Tamandua tetradactyla: one gene and its partners. The protein of the gene in region 1 purifies or fractionates together with the protein of each later gene. This does not show direct contact. Links are inferred from orthologs where the notes say so. Each region holds a gene or a part of one and is shown in the gene's direction. Other genes may lie near its edges. The genes, in order: H2AZ1, VPS72, MRGBP and EPC2.

Region 1 (6,957 bases):
CAAGCTATAACACTGAATGCAGAATCTCTGCTTAGTGGGCCCATATCAATAAATTCAGCCTGATCCAGCCTTATATTCCTCCCACCATTATCCCACACTCTTAGAATCCATTGCCACACATATTCCCCTGATTTCTGTCTATATAAATTGGAAAACTCACACAGTTCTTTTGGAATATAACGTACCTCCTCATGTATGATACTTTGTACCTCACCTTTAGGGGCCTGTTGGGACTTTAGTCTAGTTATAGGTCTGGAAGAAATGAGGGGTGGTGGGAGTGGGTCAGGAAAAGAATTAGAAATATCTTCCAAGCCATTTGCTTCAGGGCCTTCATTTGCAGTTTCATCTGGTGAAACAGAATTAATCACTCCAGGGCTAATCCCTTCAGGAGGAGGTTGGGTGGCCAATTCCTCAAGGCAGGCTGGAGGTGGGGCAGTGATGTCCTCAGGGAAAACTATTACAGAGTTATCTAGAGAAGACTCAGCATGATCTAGGGCTTCAACCTCACCCCCGACATCATTATCAATCCATATGTCACCATCCCATTTTTCAGGGTCCCACTCCTTTCCAATCAATGCCCTCACTTTAACGGCAGACACCATGCAAAGACTGAGATTTCAGTTTACATTGTAAAGTTGCTACTCTAACAATAAGACTCTGAATCTGATTTTCAGAGATCTCAAGTCTACAGGTACAGGAAATAAGATTTTCCTTCAGGATACTCATAGAAACGTCTACATCTTTCAGACGGCACTTAAGCTTCTTGTTTGAAGCCTTAAGCCCATCCCTTTCATCCCTTAATGTAGGCAGTGTATCTAACAACAACCAACCAACATCTCTATAACTCTTACTTCTACAAAACTCTGTAAAGGTGTCAAAAACATTATCCCCGAGTCTGGCTTCGTATAAGCGAAGCATTAGGAGAATTGAATGATGATATTTTGACTATCTCCTTTGCCAACTCAGTCCATGGATTGGGAGTGTCATTCTGATTACGAGAATCAGAGTCCTTAGTGTCTCTGGGTCCAGTCAGAGTAGAAAACCATTCATAAAAACCCATTTTTAAGATTCTGTTTCTTAAGAACCACTCCTGGTACCAAGATGTATTAGTTAGGGTTCTCTAGAGCAACAGAATCAACAGGGAACACTCGCAAATATAAAATTTATAAAAATGTCTCACGTGACCGCAGGAACGCAGAGTTTCACAGGGCAGGCTGTGAAACTGATGACTCTGATGGATGGTCTGGATGAACTCTACAGGAGAGGCTCATCAGCCGAAGCAGGAATGGGACCTGTCTCCTCTGAGTCTTCCTTAAAAGGCTTAAAAGGCTTCCCGTGAATTGAATGTATGTAATCTGTGATCCTGGAAAGTACAAAGTTGGGCAATATGGAATTCAAACTCATGACCTTGGCTTCATCAACACTGAACTAAACAGCATGGGCTTCTCTTAACATAATCATATTTATGTGTAGAATTTGGGGAGAACTACAGCCTTTGTGTCACAAAAGTTAATATACCACCCCATATATTCTTCACACTCTGTGAAACCCTTTCACAATTTTATGAGGTTGGCTTATCTGCTGCTATGTATACCTATTTAATAATAATGAGTGGCTGAGTCTGACTCAACCCAAGTTCTTTTATTCTGGGTAAATATTTTGTATTATACCATGCTGGAACTCAGTTATTGACGACTAGTCAGTCTTTGAAGGTACATTCTTTCCACGATGCCCTAAGTACAAAGAACCAAAATTCTAATTTGGATTTCCTCAGAAGTATTCTGCCATTATCTATCTAGGCTAACATCTTTGAAATAGCTGGAAAGTCTCTTCATATTTATCGCCCAAAAAAAGGTGTTTAAAGAAAGATGTGTTTGAGAAATCAGAAATTTCCAAGTATGGGATGATCTCTCGAATTCTCTACATAAAAAGTCAAAACCAACAGTAGTTGCTAGTTGCTAGTGTTTGAGAGGAGATAGTAATTAGTTGTAGAGTGTCTGGCTGAAGTAGAAAAAAAGCTATTAAGGAAAAAGGCAATAATATTAAGACCATATAATTCATATTATTAATTTTTTTCACTATTAGCATTTATTAAGTAACTTATTGGATATGGCATTAAAAATTATGTAACTATGACTACATTACATATGTATTAGCATGAACACAAGTACTAGAGAGATAAGAGGATTAATATTTTTGCATCATGGTTTTCTCCAGGACAGGAAAAGGGGTAGGAAACCATCACATAACTGCTATGAAAAGGGAAGAAATCATTATTGTTCCATTCACTTCAGGAAGAGGAAAACTGTTGAGTGTACTAAACCAATTTCAGATTTTAGATGATCTGGTTGAGTTTATCTTGAATAGGTTTCAAATTTTGCTGATTCTACATCCAAGGAATACCATTTATTACACAGGAAAAAATATTTAGGAATCAAAGATACTTTAAAGATTATTTCATCCAGCCAATGTAGAAGATAATAGTTATCGTTTACTGAGTGCCAGTTACTGTGTGCCAAACACATGCTACTGTGTACCTTGCAAACCTTTTTCCATATTTCAATAATCACATGAAACTAGGTGCTACCATAGCCACTTGGCAGAGGCTTCAACAGTTAGTAACTAAGATCATACTGTGAGGAGGAGGTAGAGCAAACTTTAAGTCTTCCAGCTCTTGAGCTCAATCACTCAATAACTAAATAACCACTATTTAGTGAAGCAAGAGCAAATTTCTTTAGCTGGGTCTCTGACGGCAAAGATCACATAGAGTAATCTCTAAACTGGATAAGGTATTAATGTTGCCTCGGATTTCCTGACGCTTCAATTGAGCTCAAACTAACTACTTCAGGTTTCTTAGCTTTTGACTGTTATTACATCAATTAAGTGGGGGAACTGACTGACTCTTGCTATTAATAACATCATAAGAACCCCTGGGTCCCCAGGGGGAGAAATAATAAAAAAGGACCTTCTCAAAATCGTTGGGAAACCATTTTCTAGGGTTTATCTCCCAGAAATAGGGAGTTTCTCTAATCTTATAAACTCTTTCAAATTGAAAGTCAATCCAAAGTACTTTAGAGTATATACGTTGAATCTGACTATCCAATTTTGTCAAAAAAATAATAAACTATTAAACATTGTAAATGTGAGTTGCTATCACTTGTTCACAAGCTGCTGGAGATGTACACAGGTGTTACCAATTTATTAGCTGGAAGATTAAGTAGCTGGCATTATGATAGTACTTTGTGTACCGCACTATTTTTTAAGCCCACCATTTGCAACTGATTACATGGACCATCTGTAACTGACTGTGAATCATGAAGAGTTCCCCTACTGGCATTTACTGAATATTTGTAGCAAAATGTTGTGTAAAAAAAGTTGACACTTAACAGTTTTAAGGTTTCACTAAATCAACTTTAAATAACAAGTTATGGGTACAATTCATTCATGCGTAGTCTCCAGAAAAATGTTAAAGTTTCTGATTTGATTAAAGAATACCGCCTCACCCCCAAGCCTCCTGTGAGGTGGACAAAAAAGGTTTTGAGTCCAGTGAAGTGCGGTTGTTCAACTGTTTGTACCCACGGAACTAAGCGGGGGTGGATTCAAAAGTGGTGAGGAAAGAGCGGGTGGAATACAGCTGAAAACGCAGAGGGAGCTGCGGGTCTCGCCTAGGAGAAATAACTGGAAGTTTATGCCTCGCGGAGCGGGACAGACCACGGGACTTCTTCTACAGGATGCGTTTACGCTACCTGTCTGACAGGAGTAGCAGCCTGGGATGCGAAGGGGGCGAAGAAGAGGGCGCCCGGGTTCCCGAAAGAAAGCTGCGCTATGCTGGCGTGCACCGTCCGGAGCAATAGAGTACACAAGGCCTGGAGGAGCTTTCACGTGGTCTCCAGAGCTCTGCTGGGGGTTTACGAAGGGGGTGGTACTGCCTGCCTCTCCCCTGAATCCCTCAGCCCCTCCTCCCGACACGTGACCGCGACCCGCTGGTCCCTGAGCTCCTGCAGCGTAGCTCGCTCTGTTTCTTCCCTCCCGCCGCTGTGTCCTTCTTCTCCCCAGTTGCCGTCCCTCCGCCCTCCCCCACCTCTCGCTTCACACGCCCCAATCGCGGCTCGAGTTGCGAAGCACCCGCCCCTCCGTCCTTTTCTTGGCCTTATCATTGGCTGAGACCTCAAGGACGCGTCCCGAGGGCGGGTGGCAGCCATTGGTGCGATGAGCAATCCGAGTTCCCGGATGAGGGAACATTCTGCAGTATAAAGGGAGCGGGGAAGGCGGGAGACAGCGCAGTTTGAATCGCGGTGCGACGAAGGAGTAGGCGGCTGGGCTTCGCTGGGGGTTTGACTAGCCCTTTCTCTGCCTTGTTTGTTTGAGCTACAGCAGAATTCGAAATGGTAAACTTAGCAGAAGAGCTTGACGACTCCGCGGGTTTTTGCCAGTGGGAGTAAGATCCGTTATACACGGGGATGGGGTGAAGTGGCGGCTGTTGGGAACGCGCGGAGACAGGATTTAGAAGATCTGGGGGAGGTGTTTTGTCGGCAGCAAGCGGAGCAGCCTCGGATCTCGTGGCGGGCGGCGACGGTTAGGTCGCGCGCGCAGGGCCACTGGGGGCGGGCGGGCGGAGGCGCGCGGCCGCGAAGAGCGCGCGGCGGGGGGCCGGCGGGCGGGGTCGCCCCCGCGGCGCGGCGGGCCGGAGACCCCAGCGGGGCCGCGCTCGCGCCCGGGTTGCGTTGCCGTGGGGGAGGGGCGCGTCGCCCTGGTAATCCTATATTCTGCGTTCCTCCTCCGCTTTCGGGCGTGTGCGCGCCGCAGGCTGGCGGTAAGGCTGGGAAGGACTCCGGAAAGGCCAAGACAAAGGCGGTTTCCCGCTCGCAGAGAGCCGGCTTGCAGGTCAGTGGATGTTCGTGCAGTGTTAGAATCGTGACCTTTTTCCTTGCACCTCGTTTCTCGTTTGTCACCGCTCTGTGGTGTTTTGTCTGTTCAGGAGAGATGTGGTGTCGCGACTTGGGTTGCCGATATGATAAATATGGGGGGGGGGGAGCCGATCACGCGTGTCGATCCTGGGGCGTGTTGCTGCACCAGCGTAGCCCGTAATCATTGCTTTGGTGCTTGTATAATTTTTCCGTCTTTGACACTTACATCTTTGTGCATTTATGTTTGTGTGTGCTTACGATTAAGTTTCCGGTGGGCCGTATTCATCGACATCTGAAATCTAGGACGACCAGCCATGGGCGTGTGGGCGCGACTGCCGCTGTATACAGCGCAGCCATCCTGGAGTACCTCACCGCAGAGGTAAATGGGTGTATACCTGTAATCTGGGAAAGGTTTTGGTTAGGGGGGGAGGAAAGGAAAGGAGGAAAGTGATGCAAGAAAACTCCCAGGCCGTAAACCCAGCGAGAAGCCTCTCAGAACGCTAGAGGGAGCTGGTGTTCAATAAGGGATCCTGTTGGGCTTGAGTTTGCAGCTCTTGGAAATAATTGGTTGCCCCCTCTGTAGTTTTTGTTTTATCTTGCCATTCAGGTAGTCGGGGAACGATGACAATGGGTAGATCTACATTCACGAAGGTTTAATTTTGCTTTCTGGGTCTTGGCCGAAGGAGATTGATTAGATTCTGCCTTCTAGGTACTTGAACTGGCAGGAAACGCATCGAAAGATTTAAAGGTAAAGCGTATTACCCCTCGTCATTTGCAACTTGCTATTCGTGGAGATGAAGAATTGGACTCTCTGATCAAGGCTACAATTGCTGGGGGTGGTATGTAACTAAAACTTTAAAATGCTTTAGAGAAAAAAAATTCTCTTCTAGTTTAAGAGGACACATTTTTATTGATGCAGTGTGGTCGTATATCGTGAAATTTGATTTATGATATGTAACTTAAAATGCATTTTTATTTGAGTGTCACGTTTTAAAGACATTTTAAGTTGAACTGTACAGTGCCTTCATTTTAAGTACTGTGTGACTTTTTAAAATATGTAGATTAAAGTAAAATTAATCCCTGTCACTCTCCTAGGTGTCATTCCACATATCCACAAATCTCTGATTGGGAAGAAAGGACAACAGAAGACTGTCTAAAGGATGCCTGGATTCCTTATTATCTCAGGACTCTAAATACTCTAACAGCTGTCCAGTGTTGGTGATTCCAGTGGACTGTATCTCTGTGAAAAACACAATTTTGCCTTTTTGTAATTCTATTTGAGCAAGTTGGAAGTTTAATTCGCTTTCCAACCAACCAAATTTCTGCATTTGAGTCTTAACCATATTTAAGTGTTACTGTGGCTTCAAAGAAGCTATTGATTCTGAAGTAGTGGGTTTTGATTGAGTTGACTGTTTTTAAAAAACTGTTTGGATTTTAATTGTGATGCAGAAGTTATAGTAACAAACATTTGGTTTTGTACAGACATTATTTCCACTCTGGTGGATAAGCTCAATAAAGGTCATATCCCAACCTAATTGTGTTTTAAATTTGCTTGATTGTAATGGGAACTTATATTTTGAATAGGCAACTCATCCAACGACATAACTAAGCACATTTTCTTCCCTTCAAATTACATTAATTCTGTAGTTCAAAGCAGATGGTTCAACTAAAATTGTTTTAAGGTTATGTAATCAGCTTTGTAAGGTTTTTAAACTGGCAGGAGTTCCTGCAGTAGGATATGATACTGTGATTTTTAGATTAAGGTTTGGCCATCTGTACATCGAGTGGTCTATGTGACACTATTACACCAGTGCACTATTTACTTTGGTGGGCTGGGGAGGGAAGTAGGGAAATCTTGAATACAGCAGTTTCCACAGAATTAACTTGACGTTTAGACTTCAAAGATAATAACAGTGTCCTTTTTGAGTGCTAGACACTTTTTAATAAGGTCTATAATAACATTTGAGGAGATACGTTACCCCTTTTTATACAAGAAAACTAGAATTTCTTTGAAAGTGGGCTATGGTTCATTCAGCATGGCTAAGTTAAA
Region 2 (7,943 bases), on another chromosome or scaffold:
TTTAAATTCTATGGCTTGTCTTCCACATTGTTTATCCAACTAACCTCGCAATCAACTTCGATTGTACCTGCTTCTCATCCTAATTCCTCTCTACTTATCGGGCCTCCATTTACCTTAGTTTCTCCACTCCCTCCGGTTTCCCTCCTATCCCCACCTTCCATTCCATCCCTTTCTGACCCTCCTCCTTCAAGTCCTCAACCCCGTCTCCTCGAACGTTTTCAACAGCTTCTCTTTTCTCAATCAAACCCATCCTTTCTTCAGACTACCCGATCCACTCAGAAATCCCCGCTATTTGAAAGCTCAGTCCTCTGGTCTCCTGCCGGCAACCCCTGGGACAGTCCAGCTACAGGTGCCCCCCCCGATCTTGTTCTTGTCCCATCACACAGCCGTCACCAGCCCCCTTCCCACGCCCTGCTTACCTGAGGACGAAGTGCAGGGAGGCACTCCGGAATCCGCAGATAAAAATCCGACCGTCGACGGCCCAGAGGCGGCCGTCGCCATCTTGGCAGCCCCCTCCCCCCTCAACGCCCTCCTTCACTTTCAACCCAGCTCTTCCTCTTCTCGGAGTCGAATCTTGCCCCGGTCTCTTCACAGAACCCGCGTCCTGCGGGCCACCTCCCCGCCCCTCCGGGGCCTCCCTCAAACACGTCGGGCCAGCTCCCGGACCGGCTCAGGGCCGCACCATTCCGCCGGCACAGGGGGAGAGCCCCCCCCTCCGCAACTTTAGCCGGTTTCCGAAGGAGGCTGCTTTCCACCTTCACAAGGGACTAGGCTCAAGCCAGCTGCCGCGACCCACGTTCAGGCCCACCAATCCCAAAGGGATAAGAGGCGGGGGGATAAATCCGGCGGAGAGACCGCCCCCTCCCCCTCTTCCTCAGCCACAGCGGGTTAATCGCCCAACCCTACCGCTCGGCTCCCGGTGTCAAGGGAAATCCGAGCACTGCGCATGCGCCTGTTTGATCTCAGCGTTCCAGCCCTCTCGGTGCGGAGGGGTGGGCGGCCCTGAGGGGAGCCGAGCCAATCGCGAGGCTGTTACCGATCACGTGAGGCGGGTTCCTCGTGCCCTAACGAATCCTCGGGTGGAAGCCAGGCGCGCCTCGGTCGGCTCACCTCTCTTACGGAGGCTTGGCGAGTCGGTCTAGGAACCTTCTTTGCCGGCTCTGGACTGCGTTCTCCGAACTTCGGCAAGAGTGTGGGGGACCACTTCTCGAAGAGCTCTGGAGAGCAGCGCTGGTGCCGAGTCAGAGACGTTAAACAGTTGCATATCGTAAAACAATACGTGTCACCAAGGATCCATCTTGACTCTTTTCCGGCGTTACCGCCTTGTTTACTATTTAGTTTAAGGTGCGTGCTTATCTTAGTTCCGAATGGCGTTCTGTGCACATCTACGTTTGGTTTGCTTCCAACACGATGCTGGCCACAGTGACAGCGTTCAGTAAATATGTAAATATGTAATAAATGAAGTATGGACACTTGGGGGAAAAAAGCCACAGAAAGCAGTTAGACCATGGTACAATCTTCCCGCGATTCAAGGCTTTAGTCTCCAACTCTCGAGTCTCTGAGTTCCAAAGGACTTTAGACATAGAGAAATTCCCCCATTCTCATGGTCTAGTCTTCGCACTAAGTCTACTCAGTTTTAACAAAGTGCCCTCGAGGTTCGGTACAGTCTCTGAACAGATTGTAAACTGCTAGAGAGCAGGGACTGTGTTTGGGTCACTCATACCTCCAATTCCTCGCTGTGACTACATTGTTGGGGCTCAAAAGTTATTTGTAGAATGAAGAAATGAAGAGGTATGGAAAATATCCAGGTTTTACAGCCCTCAAGATGGCCTAGTTATCCTCCATCCTGATGTCTTCTGAGTTGTTGAAAGGGAACCTAGAACCTAAAAGTCCATAAAATATCCCCAACATACTTACATCGGCCTTCTACCCCTCCTCCCACCAAGATCCAAGATAATTGTTTTCTTGCTGCCACCTGCTGGATTATTTTTCCTTCTTTGGGTCGAAAAGCTTCAAATGATTAGACTGCCACCCCTAATTCTACAGTAGTGAAATTGTGAAGTACTGAATTATATTATGATTGGCTATAGCAATACCCACCCCCAAAGAAACACCATAGGGAATAGCAGGGTGGGGGCACACTGCCTAGCAAAGGATTTGATTCGTGGTAGGTGTTCAATAAATACCTGTTGAGTAAATTATCCTTGTTTCCATCTAAAGCATGAGATTGTTAGCATTTCCTGAATTACTTCTTTAGCAATCATTTGATGTAGATGTAAAGCTGTTTCTGATTAACAATTGGTAAAAGACCAATAAAGCCCTAACTGACAGAGGCAGTAGGTCAAACAGAGGGCTTTTCTCCCTGGAATCTAATCTATCACTTTGATAAAAGAGTGAATTCGTGCTCGCTTCGGCAGCACATATACTAAAATTAGAACGATACAGAGAAGATTAGTATGGCCCCTGCGCAAGGATGACATGCAAATTCGTGAAGCGTTCCATATTTTAAAAAAAAAAAAGTAAATTCTATTTCATCCCTCTTGGAAGAAGAAATCCCTCTTTTGTAGCTCCTTAGGAGTCTTTGTTTCTCCTTTATGTACCAGAAAATGTTTACTATTATACTTACCACCTTGTATTGTTTTTGTCTCCCTCACAAGACTGTGACCACTTCAGGGTAAAGATTACATCTTACCCATTTTCACTTCTCAAGCATCTAGAATGGTGTTTGGCAGAGAGTAATTGTCCAATATCTGTGCTCTGAATATATGAATGAATGAAGGCAAAATTCAAGAAATGGGGCTAGGGGTGTTTAAGAAGCAGGTATCACCCATCTTTCCCCCCTAAACCTTGTCTCTGTGCTCACTCCCACTCCATTCCTGGGGTACTCTCTGAGTCATGGAGCCATTCATCCCCAGTAACATTCCTGACATAGCAGAACTGGAGTGACGTGGCAGGGTGTGGAAGCAGGGGCAGTGCAGGACAAGTTGGCTTGGTGCTCCCAAGGAAGTGGAGAAGGGAGTTCACCAATACATACTTTGGGAAGGGAGGGGGCATTCTGGTGACCTCAAAGAAGGGTTCAGGGAGACATGAACATACAGACGGGCACCTGCACATGCATGTGCACACATACGCCCACAGGACTTTAGAAAAACTTCCTTTAGTGACTTAGAACAGTTCCCAAGGTCAGAATGAAGGGGCAAGAGGCTGGCAAGAGCAAATGAGAAGCAAGAATAAGAAGATGGATGCCATAACCATTCAACTTGTCATTTATTAATTCATTCAAGGAACATTATTTAGCCCCAACTATATCCCAGGCACTGTAGAGAGTTCCTAATATACAAAATCCCTGCCCTCAAAAAGATCACGAATAATGAGGGAGACAGACACATAAATCATTACGATAATGTGTAGAGGTGTTACCATAGAGTATGTATAAGTGCTATGGTTTGACAACCATATTTTCAGAATAAAAAAGTGGGAACAAAAGTAGACACGGACCCCTGTCTACATGGGACATGACTCCCAGGGGTGTGGACCTTCCTGGCAACGTGGAACAGAAATCCTAGAATGAACTAAGACTCAGCATCAAGGGATTGAGAAAAACCCTAGAATGAGCTGAGACTCAGCATCAAGGGATTGAGAAAACCTTCTCGACCAAAACAGGGAAGAGTGAAATGGGACAAAGTGTCAATGGCTGAGAGATTCCAAACAGAGTCGAGAGGTTATCCTGGACGTTATTCTTACGCATTAAGTAGATATCACCTTTTAGTCAAGATGTAGTGGAGAGGCTGGAGGGAACTGCCTGAAAATGTACAGCTGTGTTCCAGTAGCTGTGTTTCTTGATGATGACTATATAATGATATAGCTTTCACAATGTGACTGTGTGATTGTGAAAATCTTGTGTCTGATGCTCCTTTTATCTACTTTGTCAACAGACGAGTAGAACATATGGATAAAAATAAATAATAGGGGGGAAGAAAAAAAGTAGACACAGAGTCTTGACGATACCACAGATGATATGAAATTAGAAGATACTCCAGAAAATCTAGAAGGCATGATCCCCTTGGTTACAGGATCTGTACCTCAAAAGTCAGGGATGAGTGTGAGGGAAGACTTCACTGCATTCAGAATAAGTATTTAGACGAGAAAGGCAAGGGATTCAAAGGCGAAGGAAGCACATGGGGGCATACCAGAGAATTGGGTCTTAGGGGAGTGATGCTGGAATAGGATGAATGTAGTGATGTGGCAGGAGGTGAGTCTAGAAAGGCAGGGGAAAGCTAAATTATGAAGGTAGTTTTGACCTACAAATATCTACTACATGCTTACTAAACACTGTGCTAAGACATTTGCAAGAATTATCTCTTAATCTTCATAACAGCACAGACTCCACAGGTAGGTATTACAAGTATGTCTCATCTGTAAGATGAGAAAACAAAGGCAGAGAGGTAAAGCAACTTGCCAAAGGTCACAGAACTAGATGAACTTAGATAAAATTCGAACTCAGGTCCGTCCGGCTCTAACGCTGTGCCCTTGACCACGGTTACTGCTCTGGCTCGAGTTAGCACCTTATTTCATGAGGGTGGGGAGTTATTAAAAGGTTTCTGAGCAAAAGAGTGACAGAGTCCAGTCTGGGTTTTTAGAAAAGTTCCTACTGGTAGCAGAGTGGAAAACGAATAGGAGCAAAGGGAAACGGACCTCTTCTAAAAGAAAATTGGTTGATTTCCAAATTCAGGACTTACGGTAGTAGGTGGGGCGTCAGCGTCTCCAAGTGGAATTTTTCCGTCACTCGAGTTGGCGGACTAGAGCAGGGGGCGTGGTTTCCGCCCGGGGTGGGCGGGGCTGAAGAGTAAAGCTCGGCCTAGGGGGCGGGGCTAAGAGCTCCTCGATGCTCTACTGCTTCTGACTGTACACGTTCCGCTTCTGCCGCCCACGGCCATCCGCAGGTAGTGGTGTCGAGCGCCGAGTCCCGAGTCGAGCTAGGTGACGGGATGCTGGTGGGGGCGCAGCCTCGGTGGGTAGTATGAGTTTGGCTGGGGGCCGAGCACCCCGGAAGACAGCGGGGAACCGGCTTTCTGGGCTCCTGGAGGCAGAGGAGGAAGATGAGTTCTACCAGACGACTTATGGGGGTTTCACAGAGGCAAGAGCCGGGCCCAGGAAGAGGGAGGGGAGGAAGCGAAAAGTGGAATCCTGAAGGGACAAACCCCGGACAAAGAAGTGGGGAGCGGGTAACAGAGAGAAGCCCTGGAAGCTGATACTCAAGAAGGGGGTGGGGGGGTAGTCCAAAAGGGAGAGTCCTGGACGGGGTTGGTGGGCTGAGGAATGGAGAGGCTCTCGGTGGGAGACCCTAACATGTGGCAGAAACCAAGCGTCTACTTCTCTAGTTGCATGTCTCACCCCATTTCTGACGTCCAGCACACGCAAGGCACATCTGGTCGCTCGATATATATTCCTTGGTTAACTGCTTGGTTATTCACCTGAGATGTAGAAAGGACCCTTCCGCAAAAGTAAAGGGGCTTAGCCCACTCCTTTTTCAGTTTAAAAGTCTCAATATCTCCTTAAATAACCTTTCCTTAACTGTTGTAAAAGTATCTCCATTTGTTTCCTTCATAGAACATGTTTCAATTTGTAATTAAATTTGGTTTGCTTACATGTTAATGCTTTCCTATTAGATTGTAAACTCCGTGATGGCCCGTGTTCAACAGTAAAAGACCAGTGGGACTAGTCCGGTGTCTGGACTGGACTGGCATTCGTTAAATTTTATTGACCGAATCTATCTGTTCATTATGTGCTGAGCACCCAGAGCATACAAAGCATTATGATAAGCTCTAGGGGAACAGAAAGTATTAAAAACACCGCTCTATTCTTACATATTCCAAATCCCAGTGGGGGAACTAGTCAGGTTAACAGCTAACGTATTCTAAAAATTGTATGATAAGCACTAAAATAAGAGACAGGCATAGAGGGCTATGGTATCATGGAAGCCAGAGTTGTTTGGGATTGAGATCCCCGGGGGTGTGATGTTTAAGCTGAGAATAGTTTGAAAAGTAAGCTTTGGCTAGATGAAGAGAAGTAGGGCTGGGAATAAGGCAAAGGAAACAGTCTCCAGAAGGCATGGAGTAGAATATGTAAAGGCGCTGAGATCCTGGTCTGGCCTGGAATCTGCAAGTCATCCTCCAGAGCATGAAGGAGAATGAAGATTGGTGAGGCTGGAGGGAGGAGGCTGGGCTAGATGGTGTAGGGCCTTGAGAACCGTGTTCAGGAGTTTTACTCTTCAGAGGACTGAGGAGATTCATCAGAATAGCATGATCAAATTTCTGTTTTAAACAGATCAGTCTTTAAGGAGGAGAATGGTTCAAAGGTGGCAAAACTAGAGGCAGGGAAACTAGATTAGGTAGAATCCAGGAAAGATAGAGGTGATGGTGGCCTGAGCTGAATTTGTGGCAGAGAAAGTAGGGAAACATGGACTAGATGATACAAAGAAATTAAAGAACTATAACCCACAGTACTTGATGACTGACTGGGAATCGTTACTTACATAACCCTAACCAACTAGGTTAAAATAGAAATGTCTCATCCCTCCTACAAGGCCAAGTCCCCTCTCCCCATTTTCCTATTTTTGTCATTTTACGAGTTATTTAATATGTACCAGTTGTACTTCCAAAAATAGTTTAAGGAGGCTTACACTATACACAAAAAGTAGGAACAGTAAAAATAGAGACAGATGAGAAGTAATTGTACCAGGAGCCTATGCTAAAATGGTAATAGCAATTGATAGTAAATTTAGCTGTGAGTTTCCTGGCAGCCAAATCCTGAATTTATTTATTTATTTTTGTAAGAAAGAAGCATGTAAGTTTGTCAAGAGTGACAAACTTATTCAGTATTAAATCTTAAAAGGAATTTATCATAGCATCCTTCTATAAGATGTATAAAGTAACAGGGTTTTGTAAGTGATGTAAAAAAATTCCCTTGTCTAATCATGACTATTAAGGACCCTCAAATAAAAGCCAAAGAAATGGTGGTAAACCCATAATTTAGTGAAAGCATTTCATTGAGCATTAAGCTAATGTGCAGTTGAACTACTACCCTGTAGTGATATGACTTAATACCAGATTAGAACTCAGGGGATTAATATGTTCCCAGGCTGTCTTTCACAAACATCACGTGGGAAGAAATGATAGTCATCAGTGCAAGATGGAATTTTGACTGGCTTGGAGTGTAAAGCATCTTGTTTGCTTGTTTTGGCTGCAAGTGTACCAAGGTTAGCCCATTAGTCTGCATCATAGATTGAAAAGAGAGCCACATGTTTGAGGTGCTACCCAGCCCAGTAGATTCTTCCTCCCCAAAGTGCTTTTTCTTCTTTTGCATTGTGGCTGCTATTTTAGCCCTAAACGGCATCGCCTAAGTCTAGGCTGTACCTCGTGCTCGCTGCTCCAGCCCATCTAACCACCTCCAGACTTTCTGAAACACCTTTTATACACAGTTTTCCCCTCCTCCAAATCTTCAGTGACTCTCTGTTCCCCATTGTAGGAGTACCCAACTCTTTTACTGCCCCAACACATCTAAGGAATGAGACATACTTCTCTCAGTAACTTTACTAAATCAATACTAATTTACTCATCATCAGTGTTGGGACAAGTAAGGGGATGGAGGGAACTGAGAATCACTGGCCTGCAGGTTAAAAATCATAGGTTTATTAGACTGACTACTAAGCCTTGCCATAGACTGAATGCAGTCTCCTTTTCAAATCTTTCATATCTGGAAGGTAATCAGTTAATGTTGAAGGAGACTATGGAGCCAAAGGCAATCAGCCAGGAAGACTTCTTACCAGAAACACTCTGCTTTGCTTAGGTTGAAATCCTTATTCCATAAACATTCTATATTCATTCCTGCTTTGGCACCTTTGTTTCTGCTGTTCTGTCTACCCATGATTTCCTCTTTACTCT
Region 3 (7,826 bases), on another chromosome or scaffold:
TAAACTTGAATTCCAGGTAAATAGCAAACAATTTTGGAGTAAAACTTTGTTTCAAACATTGCAAGGGATATACAACATTATTTGTCACCTGTTGAAACTCCAGTTTAAATGCACTTTTTGTATTTTGATTTGTTAAGTCTGGAAATCCAAAAAAGGAGCCTATAATTCCCACCGCCTGTCTGGAATGAGTGCAGGTGAGTCCAGAGCCCCAAAGCTTTCCACTTGCCCTGGGCAGGTGGAGTGGTGGGCAAGGTGGAGGTCCTACCAGGGGTGCTGTGGGGGTCCCACAGGTGACTCCAGAGCCCCTGGAGGTGGGACAGTCCTGCAGGCCATCAACGCAGATGCCTGCCCTATGCAAGGAACTGAGTGTCTTCAAAATGCTGGGAACGGCTCCAAGGAACAGAACCGCCAGCAGGTTTCTGGGCCAAACTGCCACTTTGGGTCCCCATAGCAGATGGGGACACCCCTGAAGATTTGATACATCCACTGAGGGCCGCAGCAGCTGGCCTGGGCCCCTGCTCCTGCGACCCCACGCAGCCCAACCTCTGATTTCTTTGAGAAGAGAAATGTCCACTTGGAATGGAACAGAAGGGCCACAGTAGGACAGGGAGACCAACCCCTCCCCTGGCCACCATGCTTGCCCATGACAGGGCAGGGATGGTCATGGTTAGGGTCAGAGACTCTGGCCCCTCAGCCTGGGAAGGAGCCCGGGAGCTGCCCTCGATGTCCCAACACCCAGAGCTGCCATGGCCCCGGCTCTCCAACATCAGCGCAGCCACGGGGGGCCGTGGGCCAGATGGGGGCTGGGAGCCCCGACCCCTCAGCACGCTCTGCTCTCGGGCGCTCCCACACCTCCTTGTGCCTGGAGGAACCCCCTCCTTGTTGCTTTTCTTGTCACCAGTCACTTATCCTCACATTATAAGATGATGTCCAAACCTCGCAGGGCCACACGGGGCAGAGCGGAAGCAGGAGGATGGGGAACAGGGGGTGGGGGGTGAGGGCCTGGGAAGGTGACCTTAAGGACAGGGGTGGGGGATGGGGGAGGGGGCTGCTCATGCCGAAGGGGGAGCCTCAGAGAGGCAGCCTGGGAGAAAGGATGAGAAAGAATAAAAGATTGTGGGTCAAGAAAAATGTGCTTTGTATAAAAAAGAAACTTTGAAATGAGATATAAACATAACAATTAAACCTTTCTTTCATTTGAGAACCCCCAGAATGGAAGGCAAGAGAGAGACTGGGTTGAGGAGGCAGCTGGGGAAGGCATGGGAGCCCCTTTCGTGTGTAGTGGATTTTGAACCACACCGACGCATCATCTGTCCGCCATGGAGCCATGGTAAAGCACAGGAGTGGAGGGAGGTGGAGGGGAACACCCGGGAGGCTGACCCAGGGGGTCAGGGCAGAGGCAAGGAGCCCAGGCCCAGCCCAGTCACCACCTCCAGCCACACCAGGGCTCCCCCATGACAGCTGAATGCCCTGGGCCACTTATGCCCCCTCTCTGGGCCACATCTGCCTCATTGCAGATTGCCAGCAGATGGGGACGCTGAGGCTTAGGCGGTCACTGGGCTTACTGGGCAGGTGGGGCTGACCCAGAGGCGGCCTCAGCCAAGAGGCAGTACTCAGCACCACCCACTCTAGCCCCGGGCAGCCAAACCCCCATCCACACACCAGAGGAGAATGCACTGTTGCTGGGCCCATTTCAGAGGGAAACTGAGGCCTGGAGTCTGGGAGGTAGGTTCTTATGGAAATTTAAAAACCAGGCGCATTTTCCCACATCTCCCTGTGGCCCCCAAGCTGCTGAGCTGGCCCGATGCGCCCCGTGCCCCACAAAACCAAAGGCAGAAGTCAGGAGAGCCCCAGGGCGGGGGGCTGCTTCCTGTGGGCCTGTGAGAGTGAGCCCAGGACCTCTGGGAAGACGCGGGGGCAGTGGAGTGGGGCCGAGCCGGCTCGCCAAGAACCCTCTGCGGCAGAAACCGAGAGCCACGGAGCGCCCCGAGAAGCGAGGCCAGAGGCGGCGAGGCCAGCAGCACACGGGGCACGGAGCTCCTGGGGGGCGGCCTCAGTTGGAAGGCGGGGCTGAGAGCAGGAGCGGAGGCCGGAGGCGGGTCAGCTTGGCGCGGGAGGGGCGACAGCTGCCAAGAGGTCCAGGGCAGGAGGGGCGGGGCGGGGCGAGGAGAGGGGGCGGGGAGAGGGCGGGGCCGCTAGGGCTTCCTCAGGCTTGAAGACCGGCCGGAGGCCCCGCCCCCGACCGCCCTGCCCAGGTCCGCCCCGGGTTCACCCTCGCCCCGACCCTTCTCCAGTTCACTCCCCCCACCCCCCGTACCCATCCGCATCCTCCATCCTTGCCTCCGACCCCATGCAAACTCATCCCCCACTTTCAGGCCCCCAGTTCAACCAGGCCCCGCCCCACTCCCAACGCACCCCCCCCGTCCCCGCCCATACCCCGCCCCCTGCCCACCCAGACCCCACTGGGCCTGGCCTCCCCCCCAGTGCACCAGGCCCCGCCCCCGGCCCTGCTCGCAGATCGCCCGGCGGGTCCCCACCGGTCCAAGCTCCAAGCTTCGACCTCATCCAGACCCCGCCCCGCCGTGGTTTCTTTTCCGGACTCGCGGTTGACTCCCACCCAGAGTTCCAGACTGCGTTGCCCGGGGTTGATCGGTCAACACCGGCGGGGGGCAGCTGTCGAGTGCAGCAGGGTCCGGGCGCCCCTTCCCTCCGGTGCACAGGTGGTCGTGGGCCCCTTGGTCCAGCTCCGGCCCAGCAGGATGGTGCTAGCCCAGCGACAAGTAAAGCCTGTTGGAACCTCCCCTCCCCACTGGAATTGTCCTTTTTTTTCCTTAACAGTTTTATTAAGATACAATTCACATATCATACAATTCACCTGTTCAAAGTGCACACTTCAAATATTTTTAATATTGTCATAGATACGTGCATTTAACACCACAAGCAACTTTAGAACATTTTAATCACCTGAAAAGAAACTCCGTGCTCATTAGCAGTCACTTCCCATTTCTCCCAAGCTCCCCAGCCCCTCCCGCCGAGGTAACCTCTAATCTGCCTTCTGTCCTATGGATTCTCCTATTCTGTAAATTTGAGATAAATGGAATCATACAAAATGTAACCTTTTGTGATGGTGTCTTTTGCTTCTTTCAGTATGCAATCTTCGAAATCTATCAATGTAATGTCATGTATCAGAACTTCTTTTCTTTACATGGCTGAATAATTTTTTGTTGGATAGATAGAACACATTCTGATTATCCATTTTGTCAATGTCCACGTGGGTGGTTTGTTCCTCTCAGCTATTGTGAATTATGCTGCTGTGATTTTTTGAGTGGACATTTGCTTTCAGGGGACTTGCTGGGTCATGTGGCAACTCTGTGTTCAACATTCTGAGAAAGGGCCTATTTTCCACAGCAGCTGCACCATTTTACCTTCTTACTAGCAATGCACGAGAGTTTCTACTTCTCCGCATCCTCACCAACACTTGTGATTGTCTCTTTTTTACTGTAGCCATCCTGATGGGTGCAGGTTGTATCTCATGGTGGTTCTGCTTTGCTTTTCCCTAATGGCTAATGATATTCAGCGTCTTTTCATGCTTTTTTGGCCATTGGTAGATCTTTAGAGAAATGTCTCTTCAAGTCCTTTGCCCATTCTTTAATTGGGTTATTTGTCTTTATATTTTTAGCTTCAAAAGTTCTTTATATAAGCAGGAGAGTAAGCCAACTCTTCACTTTGTAGTATTTCAGGTATGTGAGGTCAGCTATCAAATTCTCCACTCCACCTGCTCTCGGGGCTGAGCCTTCCCAGCTCCTTCAGCTGTTCTGAGATAGTTTCCAGACCTCTGACTGGGTGGTCTGTGGCCATCCTCTTCTGTTGGCCACGTCCCTTTTAAAATAAGATGCCCAGTATGGAGTCCCACACTGTGTCCTAAGTGTCTTCTAAATAGCATGAGACAATTTTCTGGATCTGGACAGTGCATTTCTATTCAGTATTAACGTGGCACTGATCTTTTTAGCAACTGCATCAAACTGACGACTCAGAATTGCTGATAATGCCTTCTTCAAGTAACATTTCTTGAATTCCTGTGATGTCTCAAGATGTATGCTAGGTGCGGGGAATATAAAAATAAGACATACTTCCTGCCCTCAATGAACTTACAGTGAGCATGAGTTTCCAATCAAACACTTCCCAGTCAGTTCAGTCTCCCGTATTCTATACTTTTTGCATCTAAATGCTCACCTTCATTGTTTAAGAGAAAGCTATAAAGATCAAAGGAGAAGGTGGAGTTGTAACAGTTAATAGGATTTAACAAATGAGCACGATTGCTGAATCATTACACTGATATTTCTCTTAGTTTCCAGTGTCTCGGAGCAGCTAGAAGTAAAAGCCTAAAATTGTGGAATTGTAATCCACATCAAATTCTGAAATTTGTTCTACAAGTAATTGTGTTGTGCTTTGAAATTTATTGCTTTTTTATGTTATTATTCACAATAAAAAAATTTTAAAGAAAAAACAAAACAAAACAAAAAAAAGTTCTTTATATAGTGTGGATACTAGACCTTGCAAATATTTTCTTCCGTTCTATCCCGAGGAACCCCCACTACCCTAGGGCCAGAGCAGGGCGGCTGGAAACGGTGGCCCATCCACAGCCGCTGGACAGCACTACGCGGCGCGATGCGGCCGCCAGGGGGCGCCATGAACGCGTGCCGGAGCCCGGGCCATTAACTGCGCCTGCGCTGGAGCGCGATCCCCAGCGCGCGCCTGCCCGAGCGCGCGCCTGCGCCTGCGCCTGCGCGGGCCCGTGGCCGCGCCTCCTCGCGCGGGGCTGGTGGCCAGCCGCGGCCATGGGGGAAGCGGAGGTGGGCGGCGGCGGCGCCGCGGGCGACAAGGGGCCGGGGGAGGCGGCAACGAGCCCCGCGGAGGAGACGGTGGTGTGGAGTCCCGAGGTGGAAGTGTGCCTTTTCCACGCCATGCTGGGCCACAAGCCCGTCGGTGAGCGCGCCTGAGGCCGCGCACTCGCGTGGGGGCGGGGCGGTTCCGTAACCGTCGGGGTGGGGGCGGGGCATGGGGCCAACCCTCCCCGCCGACTTTGCCCACCGCCCCCTCCTCGCAGGTGTGAACCGGCACTTCCACATGATCTGCATCCGGGACAAGTTCAGCCAGAACATCGGGCGGCAGGTCCCTTCCAAGGTCATCTGGGACCACCTGAGCACCATGTATGACATGCAGGCGCTGGTGAGGCCCCAGGGGCCCGCCCCGGGGGAGGCCGGCAGTCCCATCTTTTCTGCCCCGCCGGGTCCCGCGGCCCTGCCGGGGATATAGCTTCCGCCTGGGAGGGACGGGGCCGCTGCACAGCGTAGCGCCAGGGAGGGGGCCTGCGCTTGTGAAAAAGCCAAGCCCTCGTGGCTGGGAAATGGGGGATTGCTTGTCTGAGAGCTGGGGCTGAGCCTGAGGCCTGGGGGAGGGCGTCCCAGCAGCATCAGGGGAGCCTGCCAGCACATTCCCGGGTGTTTGGGTCCTACTCAGCCACGGGAGGTCCCAGGGAAGACGTGGGCAAGAAGGAGGCAGGGTCCCATCTGGTAAAGGTGGTCACAGGAGCTTCTGGGGAACCAGGTGGGCAGGGTTCCTGCCCTCACAGAGTTGCCTGCTGGAAGGGATGGGGAGGATTAGTGGGTCAGGATGCTAATGAAGAACAGCATGTGGCCAGCGACCTGGGGGTGCAAGGGGGATGGGGGCCAGGAGGGGTAGGAAGACCTGCGCCCTCCAGGCAGAACCTGGGGCCATAGCCGCCTCCTGACTGGGACATCTTCAAGGCTTCTGCCTGGGGTCTGTTGTACCCCCTTTCCCGGCCTTCCCTAGCTGTACATGGGAGCTGAGCACAGTCACACAGGGAGGCAGGGGGCCCGTGGCAAGCACCCTGAGACCTGTGCTGCTGTCCCTGTGAGCAGTCCATGATGAGGCTATTCTGAGCCTGGGCAGAGCCAGACCCCAAGTGATGGGCCGGTCGGCCAGGTGCATGGTCTGCTGGGGTCTGGAGTGGGTACAGGACCCGACCTAGCCCTGAGGTCTGGTTCTGCCCTCTGGCGGAGGTGTCCCCTCTCCCCACTGTGAGTCAGGACAGTGGGCACCCTCTGCACCAGCCCCTGTCATAGTGAGGCACTCGTGGCAGGGGGGCATTTGTCCAGGCCAACTGGATCCAACCGAGCCCCAACTCCAGCCCTGTATTAGGCTGGAGGCCAGGGTGCAGAGATGTAGGTGCGGCACTGACTCCCCGTCGTTGGGATGCTCCTGCCACAGTGACATGGATCTGAGGCTGCCAGGCCCACCAGTATGAGGGACAGACTTCTGGCTTGGTGGGGCCTCACACTGAGAAGTCTAGTCTCTGGGGCACTCAGAAAGCTGTCAATGCCCGCTCCATGGCTACTTCCTGTTCCTGGGGCAGCTTATTACATTCAGGGGCTGGGCAAGACTTTGGGTCATCACTTTTTTAGGCCATGGCACCCCAATATGACTGATTCCAGAATCACTCAAGATCATATAAAACGCGGAGCCCTGGCCAGCCCCCACCACCACCAAAGGGAGACAGATTTCAGGGGGACTGCTGAGTGGAGACCCTGTATCCTGCCTCCACCTCCCCACCAGTCAGGGATGCTTTCCCTTCTATCCAGCCATCCTGGTACTTGTGACTAGAGCCCAGTAGGTGTCCCCGGCTGACCCTGACCCACTTGCTCGGTTGTCCACCCTGGTTCCCGGTGGGCATGGGCGGAAGCTGGAGGGCCTCCGGCCTGGACCCTCAACTGCCCTGTGTGTGCTGCAGGTTTTGCCCAGCTTGTGCTCTCAGAATATACACTCGTGCTGAGGCTCATCTCATGTGGGCTGGGCCCATGCCCTCCCCTGAGCCACCCTGGGGGTGTTTGTGGGCGGGTGGGCTTCAGCCTGCCCTCTCAGTTGTCACAGACCCGAGTCTCCCCTCTGAGGACTGCTGAGGCTTTCATGTCATTCTTGCCTTCTGTGGGTCTGTCTGCCCAGCCCAGGCCATCGTAGGCTGTGATGGTGGGAAGAACAGGGCCCTCAGCTCTGTACCCCAGGCCGTCCTCCTCCCTTACCCCTGTGCCCCTCACCCCTGTGCCTCAGCCCACCCTCCTCCCTTACCCCTACACCCCAGCCACCATTATCCCTCACCCTTGTGCCCCAACCCACCCTCTTCCCTCAGTCCTGCGCCCCAGCCCTCCCTCTTCCCTCACCCCTACACCCTTCACCTCTGTATCCCACACCCACCCCTGCACCTCAACCCACTCTCCTCCCTCACCCCTGCACCTCATCCCTTCCTCAGCCTTGCACCACATTTATTTAAGATGATTGAGCATCATCACTGCTCCTGAGTTTTTAATCATTGGCTGAAATCACATTTTTTCTTTGTTTTTTAATAAAATAAAACATCGCATTTGACATCAGCATGAGTCTGAGATTCTTCCATTCCCAAATCCAGAGAGGAACTTCGTCCTTCCTGAAGAGATCATTCAAGAGGTCCGAGAAGGTAAGAGTCGGCGAGCTCGGGTCTGGGATTAGAAAAGGCAGGTGCGGGTGGGCCACGGTGGCTCAGCAGGCAAGAATGCTTGCCTGCCATGCCAGAGGACCCGGGTTTGATCCCCGGTGCCTGATGCCTGCCCATGTAAAAAAAAAAAAAAAAAACTCCAGATCCCTCTTGGGGAGCAAATGTTAAAATACAGTTTGAAATGCTAGTGGTAAATGAAAGCGAGGGGTAAGGGGTATGGTATGTATAGTCTTTTTTTTCTCTATTATCATTTTATTTCTTTTTCTAAATCGATGCA
Region 4 (7,931 bases), on another chromosome or scaffold:
GTCAATAAGGCGTGGCTGTCACGCCTCTCAGCTGGGGCCCCAGCTAGCATAGGGCTCTGTGCCTGCTTCAGTTGTCTGAGAGGTGCCAGCAAGTCAGGAAGACTAAGCTGCCTCCACAGGCATATAGAGATCACCTTCTAAGTTACCTTCCAGAGATGCTTGAGGAGAAAAGGATGTGTGAGCGGAGACCAGGGAAGGAATCTGAGGGGCACGGATGTGACAGGATACCCAAACCAATAGCAAATGTATACTTGTAGCCCCCCAAACCCCAGGATTTCCCCCTCCAACTCCCTTTTGAAAAATAATATAAAAGGTCCAGTCAGTTCCATGGCTGTAATAATGGCTTCAGCTGAATGGCAACTGTGCTGAATTGAGAGCTGGTTTCCTCCAAGTGTGGAATTTCTCAAGGGCAAGGTAGCTGGATTGCAAAGGATCCTATTTTACCTCCCATGACCTTGCTCCAGTGAACTGTATTTCTCTGTTTCAAACTCAGTTATTTTTTAAAACTGTCATGCATTTTACTAAAGTAAGTAGGATTATATTCATCACTTCTGTGAAATTAGGCCTCTCAGAAATCCAAAGTCCTGAAATTAAATCTATGTAGCTTGCTTGCTGTTTGGACACAGATAGTGGTCCCAGTCAGATTCATCAGCTCTGTCACAAGAGCTTTACTTATTTCTGGTATCCCCATCCAAAAGCTTGAGTGAGCCACATCAATCTATTCCATGTGTGGACCAACGCCAGTGTTTTCCTGTCGGGGGTGCAGCAGCGAGTGGGGTGGGCTCTCGGTGTGATTCAAAACTGAGTATTGTGGACCCTTTGGAACTGCGTGTTTTCAAATCTGTTTCCGTTGATCACTTCTCATTTTTTCTTGGTTAATAAAATACAAAGCTTTGGGCTGATTATTTTTGTAGTGGAATTGGGAAGTAAATCGTCAGCTTATACACAAGGTGGCACCCTGTGATTCCTACCAGGTCTGAGAGGAGAGATGCTGCAAAGAGACTGAACCACAGCTACAAATTTCTGTTTACCATCTGGTATTCCCACTGTGGTGAATATAGAGGTGGAAGTACATGTTTGGCGTGCCACCTCTGAGTGCACTGTCTTTCCCCACAACACAAAGATTCAGAGCTGCCTCGGTAAAGGGCACTAGAACCAGGGGAGTGATTTCAATTGATTGCAAAGAACGCAAACTCCACATTCAGACTACATATGGAAAACAACACAGCTTTATTTGTTTATTGGTTTTGGGCTCCTTCTTGGGAATGAGGGGGAGGAGTGGGGAAGGCAGTTCACATACCAACCCAATTAACTTTCAATTGGGTTTGCTAAAACAGGGAGCCAATTAGAAAAGACATGACATTTAAGAAACTCTGAGATAGTTGAATGGTAACTGTGTTTACTAGTTTTAAGGTTCTTTTAAAAAAGTAATTTGTTCATTATTTGGAAGTTGCCTGCCCTGATAGCAGTACTGGGAAATAGAAAGTGGAATATAATCTCAATTCTTATAGTTACTTGACATTTATTCTAATTTTAGACCACATTTAGGCAATGGTTTTATTTTTGATATGGTTTATAACTGGTTCTAATTTTGGGGTGTTTATATAGATTACACTTGCTGGGCTAAATGCATGCCGTTTGGAATTGGTCTAGAGCATATCTGAAGTAGACTATGTGAAGGTCTGTACTCAGTGCATTGTACACTGAAATTAAAATAGGCTATTAAACTGCACAACCATTTTAAATAGACTTCGATAAAGACATTTTATAAGGTCTACTTTAGAAGTTGAAAAAGATATTTTCTGTTTGCAGCACTAAGAACTATATGGGTATTCAACAAATAGATTAGAAATAAACTTTATTTTATGAGAAATAATATTTATATACAAATAAAAGCTACTTTCCAAATGTGAAACAGAGGTACATTCTGGTTTGAGCACTGAACTGGAAGCCAAGAAAACACAGGCTGTGTCTCACTTGAAAAGCGTATTGTGTTATTTGACTCAAACTGTTTTATTCCCGCTCTATAATCATTGCCTACGAGGCAAAAAGGAAATGGAGCTTTGGGGAAGAAACCGATTACATGGTCAAAGCAAAAGAACAAAAGTAAAGCAACAACTACCTTAGCAAAAACCTGTCCCTATTATTGAATTTCAGATTTAAAAAAAGTTTATTTGAATTTCCTTAATTGGTTCAAAAATTCCTATACCCAAAGGTAGGAAGCTGGAGAGCAGGGTAGGTCCTAAGAGCAAATATTGGCAGCAGTGGTTAGGTCAGGTGACAGCCCAGTAAGGTACCTGAACTCTGTCTGAGATGGGGTGGAATGGGGTCAGTTTCACTGAATTTCCTGGTGGAATATCAGTCAACAACGTACGTTAGATGCCTGCTCTATGTTCAGATGTGATTGACAGAGCAGACAGTGTTCTTGCCCTTCCTGGGGCTATTACATCTTTAGGTTCTTGATTATACAATTTATAACCCATTGGTAGGAAGGGCTCAGTAATCTGGATCAACAACTTTGGAATACTGAATGGTCAATAAACAGAAGAGCTTGGCTAGCTGTGTAGGACTATTAAGAACACATGAGTTTTGGAGTAAAGCTAGACTTGGATTTGAATCTAGTCTGGATCTCAGCTTTCTTGCTGGTAAAATTACACTTCTTCACAGACTTATGAGAATTAAGTGGAATTCAATTACTTGAGCGAATACATCTATCCATTATAATATCTAGGATACTACAGAAACTCAATATTTTCTTTCTTGAGAAGGAGTAACAATAAATATAGGGAACAGAAGAAAACTATACTTTCTGAGAAGTGCTGGAAATTTAAATAGAAGTCCTGGATGACTCATTTATTTCTTCAACTATCACCTTAACTTTTCTCTCTTTCAGGCTTGAACCCAGTGCTGACCCTCTCCCAACAATGTCTTCCTTGCAGAGGACTGGAACTCCTTCAGAGTGCAGCAGTCCAGTAAGGGACATGTGCATAAGCTTAAGGAAGGTAAAGCTTACAAGAAGAAATGAGTCACAGCAACTCCATTGTTTCCAACAACAAAATGGATGGAAAACAGCTAAGCCCCAGAGTCTTGCTGGGCCAAACTGGTTAGACTGTTTAGACATAACCATGAACTCCATATCTACTATTCTGCCTTGAGGAGAGAAGAGGGCGTGAAAGGGGGAAGAGAAGGAGGAAGAGAAAGAAAAAAGGAGGGGAAAAGAAGGTAATAGAGGAAAAGATATAGTTTTGGCATCAAATGGAAATGACTGTAGGCATCTTTTTTTTTCTTTCACTGCTGGATTTAAGCAAACCATCTACCTTTCTTTGAGTTAGACAGAATATTTATCATGTATTACGAAATGTTAAGATGCATTACCCTCTTCCTAGGGATTTTGTGAGAAATCTGTAATGCTTAAGTCAAACCAAGAAACTAAACCAGATTACTTCAGCAAGAGCTCCTATTTATTTAAGACTCACCTTGATTTTCCTTTCTCCTTAGACCTTTCTCTGATCAGCTCAGGCTAAAAGTAATGTCTCCCTGCTCTGAACTCGCAATTATTGCTCGTACAACTCGTTTAGTAATCATGTGCTACTGCCTCATGTCACCTCTGGTATGGTGTTTTCAAGTATTTACATCTTTTGCTGTCATTTATCTTTCCAGCTGCCCGGTTCTTCAACTCTTTCTTTTAATGTTGTTCATCTTTCTAACTGTCCGTTAAAGTGAAAGATCATCGTGGGAAGGAATTTAATATCAAACTTCTTTGCGTCTTTCACAGCACCCAATATTTTACACAGATCTACCACTTCAAAAATGCCTACTGCCTTGGTCAAATTTTCTAAGTTTAACGTTAAAAAAAAATCTCCGCCTCAACCCGGCCCGAAATCAGAGATATATCTACCATCCTAAAAATATACTGAAGTTTGGAAGACCGGTACACTTGTTGCACCCAGCAGCCTGAAACCACTAACTCTCACTGCTGCCATTAGCATCCATACTCCCAGTGAAGGCGAGGATGAGCAAGGATGCCTTACCTTAGAGAGCTCTTTCGGTCAGGTATTAAAGAGAGTATGCGACGAAGAGGACTAGGACAGGACGAGCGTTTGGGGGTGGTGGGGGGTGTGTGGAGGGGAGGTCTGCTCCCCTCCGATTGGGCAGATTGAAAGGTCTTTTCACACTTCCAGGGGACGTGCGACTTGGAGGATGCGAATTAGCCTGCGCTCGGGCGTTTTGGAAATAAGCGCTTTATACGCACAACTTCGGGTGGTAGCTGTCGTAGCCCTGATCAGCATGTTCCATTCCCGCTCTCACACACACACACACACACACACACGCGCGCGCGCGCACACACACACACACACACTGCTCGGCACCGCCGGATTTTGCCGGAGCCTTCCTTCGGGGCGTCCAGAGAGCCGGGTGACCGGGCCGCGGAGGAAGAGGCGCACGCTCTGCCGGGCGGGATAACTTGCGCACCTGGCACCTGCCACACCGCGAGAGCGCAGGCTAGCGAGCCGAGGGTCGCCGCCGCCCCCTCTCCCCTGAGCGGCCCGAGACTGAGCAAGCTCCCGCGGGCCGGCAGCACCGCGGAGAGAGTGGGTGGGCAGGCGAGGGAGGGGAAGGGAGAGGAAGGAGGGAGGAAGGGAGGGAGAGGACGAGGCGCGTTCCTGCGACGGGGGCGCGCTCTCGCGCGGGCTGCCGGGATCGCTCGCCGCCGCTGTGGTAATGTCCGCCATGTTGGCCATGGCGCAGGGAGCGGATCGGGCGGGCGAGCGACGGATCTAGTGTGTGGAAGCGGCCGCGGGCGGCGGGGGGCTGTTTTCGGGCGGGGTGGGCGCCCATGCTGTGGCCGGGGGCAGTGAGGAGGAGGAGGAGGAGCGGGCCGGCCGCTCTGCACTGAGGAAGGAGGTGGAGGAGGAGGCGGGAGTCCTCCCCCCCTCCCCGCCCGCCCCGACGCCGCCGCCCGGGCTGTTCCTGTAAGGCGGGGAGACAATGAGTAAACTCTCCTTCCGAGCGCGGGCGCTGGACGCCGCCAAACCGCTGCCCATCTACCGCGGCAAGGATATGCCTGATCTCAACGACTGCGTCTCCATCAACCGGGCTGTGCCCCAGATGCCCACCGGGATGGAGAAGGAGGAGGAATCGGTAGGGACTCGAGTGTTTATTACCCCCCCTTCTCTCCTCCCCCCTCCCCTTTGTCAGTCGGGCCTCGCCATTCACAGAGCGCTTTACGCTCGCTGGAGGGCGCCGCTGCCGCTCCAACGCATGGGATCCTACGCCGGCGGAGTAGCGTAAACTCTCTCTGCCGGCGCAGCGCCCGCCCGCGGCCGCCATGTTGTTGCGTCCCAGTGTTGTGATTAGCTCGCAGCGCCGCTTACGCTGTCGTAAGGGGGCCTTGTCGTAAGCGGCGACCGGGAATGGCGCAGGGGATGCGCCGGCCGCACTTGGCGTAGGCCTCTGTTTACCTTTCTTTCCCCTGCCTCTGGCGCGGGGTTAATGGGTGAGGGATCCTTTGGTTCAGAAATATGTGTTCACTTCCCATTTTTAAATTTGGTTTTGCATTGGGTTCTTTTTAAAATGACGTATGGAACGTAAGGCGCTTTTAAAACAAATATTTTCCTCTCAGCAAGGTAATCCTCACTCCTCTTCCCCTCTGCCCGAGCTGGTGCAGCGGGATGAGGTGGTGCAGCATTGCGGCTGGGAGGGCGGGGGCAACGACTCCGGAGCGGGATGTAGCGTTGGAGCGGCGCGACGGGCTCGTACCTTGGCCGCGGCTCTGTTAACCTCGCCGGGACGGCCGCAGCGTTAGAAATGAACTAAGACGTTTCCGAGCGGCCGCCCGCGCTGCGCTGTGCCGGTGTTCGGTCTCGGAATTGTCAGCGGAGGGTAGTTTTTCAGAAGTTGAGGACCTAGTACTTCTAAATTGACAGATGTGTGTTTGATGAAATGCAGAAATGCTGCTTTGTCCTACCCTTATGGGTTGAATTTTGCATATGGATGAATTTCATCTGGCTTGACGAGAGTGTTTACGACTCTCGAGTGGTGTTACTTGCGTGCGAAGTTCATAGTAGCTGCATCCTCAAGAATTTCTTCAATGAACTTACGGTCCCGCCTTATTGTCAACCCCGGGTGTGTGTGGATTGGTTCTCTTGATTCTGTGACTGTCAAAAGAAGGCTCAAGGTCTCCGTGATTGGTTTTCTCTTTTGACTATTAATATTGCAGGAAATGCTTTTATGTCTTTGATTGGCTGCTGGAGTTCTGACCTCATTATGTTACCCTGTTATTACTACTTTCTGCTGTGATTTAATCGCATTTCTCTTTAGTGTTTGATTACTTGAGAGACTTAACCTTTTCAATAAAAATGAATAAAGCTGTAGTATAAGGGTGAACACTCAGTATTGTTTAAATATATAAAATAAAAATCCCAACATTTCTGCCTAAGGCTTTGAGCTGAATGCTATGTGAATTTTTTTTTTAAATTAAATTTGTTTCCAGCTTAGCTCAGTTTTCCATGCAGGATGGTTCACATAACTGAGTTTTCATTAATAACGTTTTAAAAAAGACAGGTTTGGATTTCACAAAGCTAAATTTCTATTAATATATTTTGAACCAAAAAGAAAGGTGGGTTATGAGTTTAGTATCAGTACTTTCTTTAGTTTCTTGAAATTAGTTGGGAAGAATTTGAGTCAAGAAACCTGTTCTAGAATGAACAGTTAACTCCTGGAAGATTACTTTTTGCAAACAATAATTAACAATATACCTGGTCTTTATTTTTTCGGTGTATCTTGGTATTTTATCTGAATTTAGAAGGAAAATCTGCAGTTCAATTATTTTTTTTTTATGTTGGTCATAAATAAGTTCTTAGCACCTGTTACGATTCTGTGCTATTATCTTTTTCAGTAAAACTTGTGAATTGCAGTCTAGGGCATGACTGCCAAAGTTGGATCTCTTCAGAATTGTTCAGTTTACTTCAGTTTGCTGCTGCATGCCTCAGTTTTTGAGGAAGAAGAAATCCAAATTCTGATAGAATTGAAACCCAGGACCTATGACTCTTTGTTTTGTCCTCTCTGCCTCTTTAAAGTCACTAGTGGAAGTTCTTAAACTTCCAAACAAAGCCAGACATTAAGATTTATAGTATAAAAGTCTTTTGCTTCCCAGAATGTTTAATTGGAGTGTTAGTTTTTTAAATTACATGTTAGTTTTTAATGTCAATTCATTTCTTAGTCTTATTTACAGAACTTCTTTATTAAGGAGATTTGTTCACTTTAAAACAAAATGCTATACCTTGATAAACAGTTCTAAGCAGCAGCAGTAAAGTATTTTGAATTTCACAAATTTTTGTGTTTCACTTGAATTGTATGTTCAACTGAACTTTCAGCATCTGTGTGATCCAGTTACTTTTATAAGTATTCTTAAAAATCACATGGAACTGTTTTTTTTTTTTTTTAAATCTTGGCTTATGTATTTACTAATAAACTTTACTAAAGTTTTTCCTATTTACTAATTTCTCCACAGTGTGACCACTATCTTGCTTGACTTTGCAAAATCCTGCCCTTTGACTTCGTGGATGGCTTCTGTTCCTCCACCCTACTCCCCAATAAAATTAAGTCTTCTCCTCTGTGCAGCCATTGAACTATCATCTTTGTTTATATAGTCATTGACTTGCTTTTTGAGTTACTTTCTGATATGCCTCAGGAAGGTAATCTAGGTGTTCTTTGGCATTGGTAGTGGTATTCTGTTAGTTCATTTTTTCTTTCAGACATGCAGGTATCTTTTACTGCTTTTCTTCCCTTTCCTTATTTTCGAAGGTTTGCCAGTTGGCATCTTCCTATAATTTGGTTTCTGAATTGATGCTTATGGCACTTGGTCTAAGTTAGATTATGTAAATTTATTATTTTTTTTTATTATTTTTTTTACATGGGCAGGCACCGGG

What was found.
Region 2: the proteins of H2AZ1 (region 1) and VPS72 purify together in Homo sapiens (affinity purification with mass spectrometry; 4 studies listed by BioGRID and IntAct, with this or other methods). This does not show direct contact. The link is inferred for Tamandua tetradactyla from reciprocal best matches to the Homo sapiens genes H2AZ1 and VPS72.
Region 3: the proteins of H2AZ1 (region 1) and MRGBP purify together in Homo sapiens (affinity purification with mass spectrometry; 4 studies listed by BioGRID and IntAct, with this or other methods). This does not show direct contact. The link is inferred for Tamandua tetradactyla from reciprocal best matches to the Homo sapiens genes H2AZ1 and MRGBP.
Region 4: the proteins of H2AZ1 (region 1) and EPC2 purify together in Homo sapiens (affinity purification with mass spectrometry; 3 studies listed by BioGRID and IntAct, with this or other methods). This does not show direct contact. The link is inferred for Tamandua tetradactyla from reciprocal best matches to the Homo sapiens genes H2AZ1 and EPC2.

Annotation. Positions count from the first base shown.
Region 1 is NC_135350.1:24,382,327-24,389,283, forward strand, and holds H2AZ1 (histone H2A.Z), read left to right. Parts: upstream 1-4,203; 5' UTR 4,204-4,385; coding exon 4,386-4,388; exon of another isoform or gene 4,389-4,592; intron 4,593-4,806; coding exon 4,807-4,884; intron 4,885-5,172; coding exon 5,173-5,286; intron 5,287-5,616; coding exon 5,617-5,746; intron 5,747-6,002; coding exon 6,003-6,064; 3' UTR 6,065-6,442; downstream 6,443-6,957. UniProt on the Homo sapiens protein: Variant histone H2A which replaces conventional H2A in a subset of nucleosomes. Nucleosomes wrap and compact DNA into chromatin, limiting DNA accessibility to the cellular machineries which require DNA as a template.
Region 2 is NC_135330.1:4,370,514-4,378,456, forward strand, and holds the start of VPS72 (vacuolar protein sorting-associated protein 72 homolog), read left to right. Parts: upstream 1-4,926; 5' UTR 4,927-5,020; coding exon 5,021-5,137; intron 5,138-7,943. Other genes in the region: PIP5K1A (phosphatidylinositol 4-phosphate 5-kinase type-1 alpha), read right to left, coding at 420-501. UniProt on the Homo sapiens protein: Deposition-and-exchange histone chaperone specific for H2AZ1, specifically chaperones H2AZ1 and deposits it into nucleosomes.
Region 3 is NC_135327.1:60,345,011-60,352,836, forward strand, and holds the start of MRGBP (MRG/MORF4L-binding protein), read left to right. Parts: upstream 1-4,810; 5' UTR 4,811-4,838; coding exon 4,839-4,986; intron 4,987-5,107; coding exon 5,108-5,229; intron 5,230-7,449; coding exon 7,450-7,531; intron 7,532-7,826.
Region 4 is NC_135329.1:118,546,696-118,554,626, forward strand, and holds the start of EPC2 (enhancer of polycomb homolog 2), read left to right. Parts: upstream 1-4,915; 5' UTR 4,916-4,989; coding exon 4,990-5,142; intron 5,143-7,931. UniProt on the Homo sapiens protein: May play a role in transcription or DNA repair.